Linked DNA regions of Daphnia pulex. The protein of the gene in region 1 interacts with the protein of each later gene in a pairwise test. Links are inferred from orthologs where the notes say so. Each region holds a gene or a part of one and is shown on either strand. Other genes may lie near its edges.

Region 1 (4,363 bases):
AAATATCTTGGATAGGAATAATAATAATGAAAAAAAAAAAAACGAGTCAAAAAGTAGTTGAGCATGTGAAGCGGAAATTGTTTGAAGGACTGTCGTTGGCAAAAATAGAGCTGGAAAGACCTGGACAGAATGAAAAAAAGAAAAAAAAAATGTTAAGGGCCCAGGCATGTGAAGGAATGTTAAGCCATAGATTAACAAGTAAAAAAAATAGATGGTCTGCATGGAAAAGCAGATAAAAGAGGAAGGATGGCGTGTCACGCAAAGAGTCTTTTGTTTTCTCTGATGGCGTTACGATCAAACAATTTAACGTTAAACGGGGGGGGGGGAGGAGGGAGGATGGCTGTGCGATGGGGAGGATTTTGGTTATTCAACGCGTCCGAACGGCAGGAGAATTTGTATGAAAAAAATGTAAGAGAATTCGAAATGTTTTGTGCTCTTTTTGTTTTAATATGGCAATCAAAGAGTGGTTGAGCTTCGTTTTTTGTTTTCTTTCTTTTTCTTCAAAAGGGATATTAGTGTCAATATCATTGCTCGAGCAAAACAAAAGAAATATCAACAGATTAAATTTCGAGTCGATCGAATAAAGGGAGGAAGCAATTATGTGCGTGATGGCCAGCGCAACGAGAGGGATGCTTACAGCGAATTTGTGTTGCGTTTCTTTCTTTCTTTTTCTTTCTTTTACGGGCCGACGATGAACGTACAGTTTACAAAATGATATTTTCAGACTAAGTTTGTGGTATCCAAGACAAAATCAATAATAAAGAGAGAGAAAAATAAGAGGGGAGAGTTTAAGATTAAGAGAGAGAGCTGGGATGGGATGGTGTGCACTGGCATCCCAGAATCGAATTAGAAAAGACCGCAGTCTTTCAAATTGTTCTTAATCACAACATCCGTGACCGCATCAAAGACAAATTGGATGTTGCTGGTGTCGGTGGCGCACGTAAAGTGCGTGTAAATCTCTTTCTGGTCACGACGCTTGTTTAGACTCTCAAACTTCATTTGAATGTAGGCCGCTCCCTCCTCGTAAGTGTTGGATCCTTGAACGCAAACGTCACACAAATTAGTTTCTGAAGAAAATTAAAAAGGACTTAAGTCAATTAAACTTACCTGGGTATTCGGGAAAGCAGATGGTGAGAGATGATTTGGTAATTTTCTCCTCAAAGAGATCCTTCTTGTTGAGGAACAGGATGATTGAGGTCTCCACAAACCACTTGTTGTTGCATATCGAGTCAAACAGCTTCATTGACTCGATCATGCGATTCATCTCTTCATCTTCGGCTAACACCAGATCGTAACCTGGAGCAAAGTATCAACAATAAAGCTCACAGAAAAGGGGAAATTAAGCCTGAATCTTTTCGTACCTGATAACGCCACGCAAAAGATGATGGCTGTCACTCCTTCAAAACAGTGAATCCACTTTTTACGTTCTGATCGCTGTCCGCCGACGTCAAACATCCTGTAGATTCAAATGAATTCGATGAGTTTCTATGATTTTCGAATGATGGAAAACAAGTGAATGATTGTACTTGAAACGAAGTCCTTTGAATGAAAAATGCGTTTCGATGATTCCTGTGGTTTTCACTCTTGTTCTCAGGACATCTTGCTGCGTAGGTACGTAGTTGGGTGCTGAGATACGGTCTAAGGCGTTGAGATAATAGGCAGCTGAATCGTTCAACTGGTATTCCCGGGAGCGAGAGAAACAATGCTGCACCCCTCCGTCCATCCACAATCGTTTCATTACCTAACGAACAGAATATTAAAGTTAGGATTTTTCAATTTACAAGGAAAGATGGATCGTCTTACCTGAGCCAAGTCATATGTAAGCATTCCTTCATCAGCAGCGCTTGCTAGTGTGAAAAATAGCCTGGCATCATCCTATTAGAAAAGCACCAGTTAACGCCTGAGGGCTGTATTCAAATTGAAGGTGATAACTCACCACGGCTCTACTGGAGTCTGCAAAGTTGATTCTGAGTTGGCCCATGGCACGAATGATGGCCATCAGACTTTGTATTGTGTTGCTGTATACTACAGGTCGATACTGTTCACATTCTTCTTTGGAATATCCAGTTTCATGGATGATTTTCATCTGTTTGACAATTGTACTTTTGCCTGATTCACCAGCACCTGTGAACAGAATCAGCATTATTAATGAATGCCACAAAAACTATGAGCGAGAAATCAATCAAGTACTCACCAAGCAACAGGAGTTTGACTTCTCGTGCAGCACGTTCCCCATCAGCCCTTAAATCTTTGTCAATCTTCTTGGATCGCTCAACCGCTTCTTTGTCGGTTGTTGAGCTAACCGCACAGCCCATGGTGAAAACTGTTTTGAGCGAACCTGCAAATACAAAATGTGGAAATTGTTAATCAAACCCAAGCCTAGCAAAATGATTTTTAAAATGCTGTATAAACCACAAAAAGGAATAACTGTCACTAACACTAATTGTTTGTAAAGGTGAACTAAAATGGAAACAAATCCAAAAGAAAACCAAAAATTGTCGGTTAAACTTTGAGAGGTGTCTGATTGTAACGGAGCTTGGTTAAAACTTTCAAACGGCCACCGAGTCGTGTCAACAGTTCAATCCAAGTCACGAACTCGAGTGAATCTAAAATCGATGGTAATTCGAAAAGTGAGACAAGAGCGATCGGAACAACGATTTGATATTCGATGTCTCTTTTGTCAAAAGGAAAAGATTTCAAGTTTCAAAACGCAAGTTTTGACATTTTTGATTCTTTTCCAACAGTAAAAAAACTCAACTTACGCTGCACTGCAGTCAAAGGCGGGGCAAAACTCGAACGTTGCCGTCCGTTGCCATATTTATTTGCCGCTTTTGGCAACGCAGCTTCAACACTCAAAACCCGCCTCTCCTCTTCTTATTTTATTTTTTTTGCTCGACCCCAAATCACAGCAGAGAGAGAGAGCATTACAGCATAGTAGACTGAATAGAGTCTCTTATTCACTATTATGACGCCACGGTCGTGTGAATAGACGGTTGCCCGATAACCGTTACGAATTCGCCACACTCTTGGGGTTCAGCGCGTCGTTTCCATTTTTGATTTTCCCCCACTGCTCCCACTGCTGATTGATTATTCCCTGATCTTGGCCGCTTCCCTGCTGCGTTGCTTTGACAAATGGTATTCGTCCAGAAAATAAATTTAGAAAAAAAAAAATGAAATCAACGTCTTGAGACTGTAAATTCGCTCCTGTTTATTTGGCATATAATTACAGGACATTAAAAACCGGTTTCCTACAACGGTTGGCCTGACACGGCCAGCCTCCATTGTGTCGGTGATGAGCTGTACTCACAACTGGGGGGGTATATATGAAAAAGGGACGAAAGGAGCTTCTACAGCACACAAATCGACCGGAAATACTTCATCACAGGCACACGGTCTTTTATGGGTATGCGCTTTTTTTTACCCGGTTCAGTGTTCTGCCTGTTTTTCGTTGGGTTTTGGTGTGTTCAATGAGGAAACCGGAACCCTCGTTTCGTTTGTATATCTCTTGGAACTTTACACGACGAGGCCGCGCCCTGATTTCTTTTTCTCCATTTCCTCAGCAGCATGAATATATTCATGTTTCTGGGTCTTTTTTCTTTTTTTTTTTAAAACAGATGCGCGCTCTTCGAGCTGTCTCTCTTGTAAACAAACAGACGCGCCGACAACTTGTGTGAGACGTGATTCATATCGAAGTGAGGCTGCTAGACCACCCGCTACGATTTAACATTTTGTTGCAAATGGTTAAAAGGAAAAAAGAAGAAAACGATTAAAGCCATCCCACCAGCATGTAGCATGCGATGATCCCGTCGCAGTTGCTTCTTTTGGTACTTGTTTAACACTATGATGACGTCAAAGGAATATAAGGAGAGAGAGGGCGCTTTTATATACTATAGCGGCTAGTGATAATCGGAAAAATATCCTTTTTTCGAAATCTGAGATCCGCGTCGTCGCGTTTCCCCCCTTGGGATATGTCAGTCGTTCGTATGTACATTCGAAATTGAGGAAATTCTCATCCAGCGGCAGCAGTATAGCGCCCGTTGCCATCAGCTGGTTGGTTTTTCCCATCCATTATTTCTTTTATGTGACTGGTGTGTGGGTGCAAAGTCTTTTAGGTTAGTCACCACCACACTTCCGCATATTGGTTTTTAACTTTTTAATGAAGCCCTTCGTCCTCTATTCCTTTTTAATCGTCATCAATTTTTAAGAAATTCTCCCAATATTAAAACAAAAACCTAATAATATTTAAAAAAAAGTAATGTTTAAAAAAAACTTGAAAATATTAATAAAAAGTCTAGATTAAAAAAGGAATGACACATTGAAATGTTCAAGACGGCTTGACAACCATCCGATAACGAATGCCACA
Region 2 (3,585 bases), on another chromosome or scaffold:
TCATGTTGCATCACCAGCCCATTTCACTTCCGCTCAATGGCAATTTAGACCGGCTGACGGTTCGTGCCATGCCGGACCCTATGATGGCCATCAAAAGTCCAGGCGAGCTGGAACACGCCGCTCGGTTACGAAGTTCGATGCAGCGTTACCTGAACCAACAACAGCAGCAGCAGCAACAACAACCGCAGCCGGCCATGCTGTTGCTTAACCGCAATACGGGGACGCACCAACATGTTAATCCATCGCTCAGCGTTCGCGCAACTATGACGCTGGAGGAAAAGTTGAGCCCTCAAGTTTTCAAAGGCCGACCTGGCGGCCTACCGCACCCCGCCAACAGGTAATAACTCCATCGCACTTGGCAACGCCGTTGATTAGTTGAAATTGCTAGTAATCAAGTCAAAGAGGTCTCGACCGGGTTCACGGCCTTCGAACTGTTTTATTTCATGTTTTTTTTTTCTTTTTTATTTCATTTTGTTTCATTTTTTGGCTTCGTGTATTCTTGCTGCGCCCTGGCAGACCTGCTCGAACGCCGTCAGAACGCAGTCGTGCTCGCAGCCTGGACGATTTAAGTAAAAGCTGCCAACAGCAGGCCCGTATGCCGGGCGATCCGCCACAGCATCATCACCACCATCACCATGCTCAACAGCTGGGATCTGACAACGGTTTAGACAAGATCGATTGGGAGAATAGTACTCCTTTTGATCCTGTCGTGGGCTGGCACAGTTTAGCAGGCCAGTCTTCATCAGGATCCCCGCCGCGACAGAAACTACTAGCCAAAAGACTGGAATATAGAGACGATGGCAGTGAGGAAGAGGAAGAAGAAGAAGAAGAAGAAGATGAGGAGAACGAGGTAAAATATGGAATTTCTTTACAAAAGAGAAAACTTTTTGATTGATTAGAGAGTCCCGACAAAAAAAAAGTCGAATGGGTGGAGGGAGAGAGACGCCAGCCACAGTTGAGAGAGTTTAATAGGAATCCGAAGCAAAATTGTTTAAGTGTGTCTAATCAGGAAGAGTATCGTTAAGGCTCGACTGGAGCAAGCGAAAGGGATGCTGGGGCGTTACTCAACCGACCCCAATGGTTTTCTAGTGCGAAATAGATGGCGCTCTGATTTCTTTGGTTTGCTCTGAGCGGAGGAAAAGTCATTTCCCATTTTTGGTGGCCGACCGCTGCTCAAAGGCGGATGCGGTCGCCGCTGGGCGTGAAGTTACCCCATTCCTTCGGAGATTTTCAAAGTTTTTTCCAATGAATTTCGATACGGCACGCTCTATCTTTTGGCCGTCGTCTCGTTTCATCACCGTCAACGCCACCCGCAGTGCGATTGTTTGCTCTCGTGAGTGTGAGTCGATCATGAGAATAGCCCGAGTTTTCGATCTTCCCAAGGTATTGCCGCCGGCGTCGGATCAACGGTGCGGCCAAGATGAAAGACCCGGATCGACCATAGCGGCCACTATCGTCGCCTCGGCAACCAACAGCACCATTCTGGCTGGGACGCTCGAGAAACCCATTCAGCCCGACCAGCAGCAGCAGCCGCAGCCTCCTCCTCCTCCTCAAACTTCACAACCTCAACAACAACACGTTTGGATGCAGGGATTTGAGAAGCTCCTCGAGGACCCCCTGGGTCTGCGAGCCTTCGCTGTGAGTACCTTTTATTTATTTTCTTTTCAGATTTTTTTGTTCGTGATTTGAAACGATCGCTCATTGTGACGTTTTTGACCTGAACACACATGTGCACACAGGGATTTCTAAAGAAGGAGTTTAGCCACGAAAACATTTATTTTTGGGCCGCTTGCGAACGGTTTCATCGGCTCTTCCCCACCGAGGATACCACGACGGCCGCTTACGAAGCCCAAAAGATATTCGAACGCCACCTTGGCCCAGCCGCCTCTGAGCCTGTTAATGTCGACTCCCAAGCGAGACAAAAGGCTGAAGATAATCTATGCCAACCTAGCCTGGAATTGTTTGATCAGGTAAAATGTTTGTTTTGATGTCGTAAAAGTCTTTTTACTCAATTCCGTGTTTTTGTTCTTTTTATGTTTTTGTTGGTTTCAGGCTCAGAAACAGGTCTTCAATTTGATGAAATACGACTGTTACCCAAGGTTCCTTCGTTCACCATACTTTCGTGAATGTCTTCAAGCCATGCAACAGAACGAGCAACCTCCCATTGCGGAGCTGACCCTTAATGATCCTGATTTGAATATTGACTATGATTTCGGTGAGGGTGATAGCGATAGCTTGCGCAATTTGGCACTGAAAAAGAGTGGCAGCGATGCTGGTGAACGACGTCGTAGATCCTTGTTGCCTTGGCCCAAAAAAGATCGGTCAAAATCCAAGGTCTGTTCCCTACTGTTTTGTATGGTTTTCTTTGAAAGACAACGTTGTATGACTTTTTCTTATTTCAATTTTGTTTGCAGGATCGCGCTGAATTTGATTATAGAAAGACGTCCAAGAAGAAAAATCGACAGGGTAGTACCAGTAGCGGCCCAGACAAGGAAAAGGAGAATGCGACGGACGATGAAGATCTGTTCATTAAGAGAGCCGCATCCAAGGATTCGGTGGCATCCGAATTCAGTGACAAGGCTTTCCACATCCAAAACACTGCCAGTGCTGTGCCGCTGGTCAAAGTCCTTCTTCCCGACATGTCTTCTGCAGTTATTGCTGCCCGGCCAGGCCAAAGTGTTCAGCAACTTCTCAACAAACTTTTGGAGCGTCGTGGCTTACGCTTCAATGCTTTCGAGCTGTTTGACAGCCACCATTCCACTTCTATCGAGCTGGAACGGGACGCTTCTGTGGTCGGTGGCATGGAGATCCGCTTAGAACCCAGAGTCGTCTTCCATCTACTACTCCTCCAGTCGGGCAAATCGCTGATGATCCGTGGCCAACCCAGGAGGCAGCTAGGCGAAGTCGTTAAACCGATTCTCTTGAAATACGGCCTCAAAATTGAACAGTCGATTATCACTAAATCGACTACTGGGGATGTCGTCCAAGCAAAAACCATGTTAGCATCGCTGGATGGTTGCCATTTGAAGGTGAGAAAATGAGAGAGCTCGTAGCGTTCATACAGAGAGATTTCATGATTTTGTTATTTGTGTAGGTTACAAACCGAGACGAAGTCCATGAAGATTTTGGTGAAATGGACCGTGACGGTTCAGGTCAAGCCCATGGTGAACAATCTGATGAAGCGGAGGAACTTCCAATCAAAAATAGTGGAAGCCTGTTGGGGCGTAAAGGATTGAGTCGAAGAAATTCTCTTCAGACCGAACGGAGTAGAACGGTCTCAGGCAAAAAGCCCATGGCACCAACCAAAAGCGAAAGCACGATACAGAATCCGAACATGTCTGTCGCTAATAAACGACTTTCGCTCCACGATTTGCCCAAATCCAGTTCGACGGCGCATTTAATGCCTCCACCTCGAGCCCCACTCGGTAAACAGTCCAACTTTCTCTCGTTCTTATCAATATTCAATAACTTAAGACTTGTGTGTTAACAGGATCGAGAAAGTCCAACACCCAGCGTAACCCACTAACACGCCTGGAAAACGAGGCGCTCTATGAACGATTAAAACGAGCTCAGAGATGCAGACTT

The links.
Region 2: the proteins of guanine nucleotide-binding protein G(i) subunit alpha (region 1) and regulator of G-protein signaling 12-like interact in a two-hybrid assay, tested with the Drosophila melanogaster proteins (2 studies listed by BioGRID). The link is inferred for Daphnia pulex from reciprocal best matches to the Drosophila melanogaster genes Galphai and loco.

What each region holds. Positions count from the first base shown.
Region 1 is NC_060020.1:3,522,541-3,526,903, forward strand, and holds the start of guanine nucleotide-binding protein G(i) subunit alpha, read right to left. Parts: upstream 2,886-4,363; 5' UTR 2,763-2,885; exon of another isoform or gene 2,439-2,762; intron 2,339-2,438; 5' UTR 2,316-2,338; coding exon 2,195-2,315; intron 2,125-2,194; coding exon 1,937-2,124; intron 1,876-1,936; coding exon 1,804-1,875; intron 1,742-1,803; coding exon 1,527-1,741; intron 1,457-1,526; coding exon 1,362-1,456; intron 1,297-1,361; coding exon 1,108-1,296; intron 1,038-1,107; coding exon 847-1,037; 3' UTR 1-846. UniProt on the Drosophila melanogaster protein: Guanine nucleotide-binding proteins (G proteins) are involved as modulators or transducers in various transmembrane signaling systems.
Region 2 is NC_060017.1:5,048,670-5,052,254, reverse strand, and holds part of regulator of G-protein signaling 12-like, read left to right. Parts: coding exon 1-337; intron 338-516; coding exon 517-850; intron 851-1,383; coding exon 1,384-1,638; intron 1,639-1,739; coding exon 1,740-1,970; intron 1,971-2,052; coding exon 2,053-2,334; intron 2,335-2,414; coding exon 2,415-3,029; intron 3,030-3,094; coding exon 3,095-3,425; intron 3,426-3,490; coding exon 3,491-3,585. UniProt on the Drosophila melanogaster protein: Acts as a regulator of G protein signaling (RGS).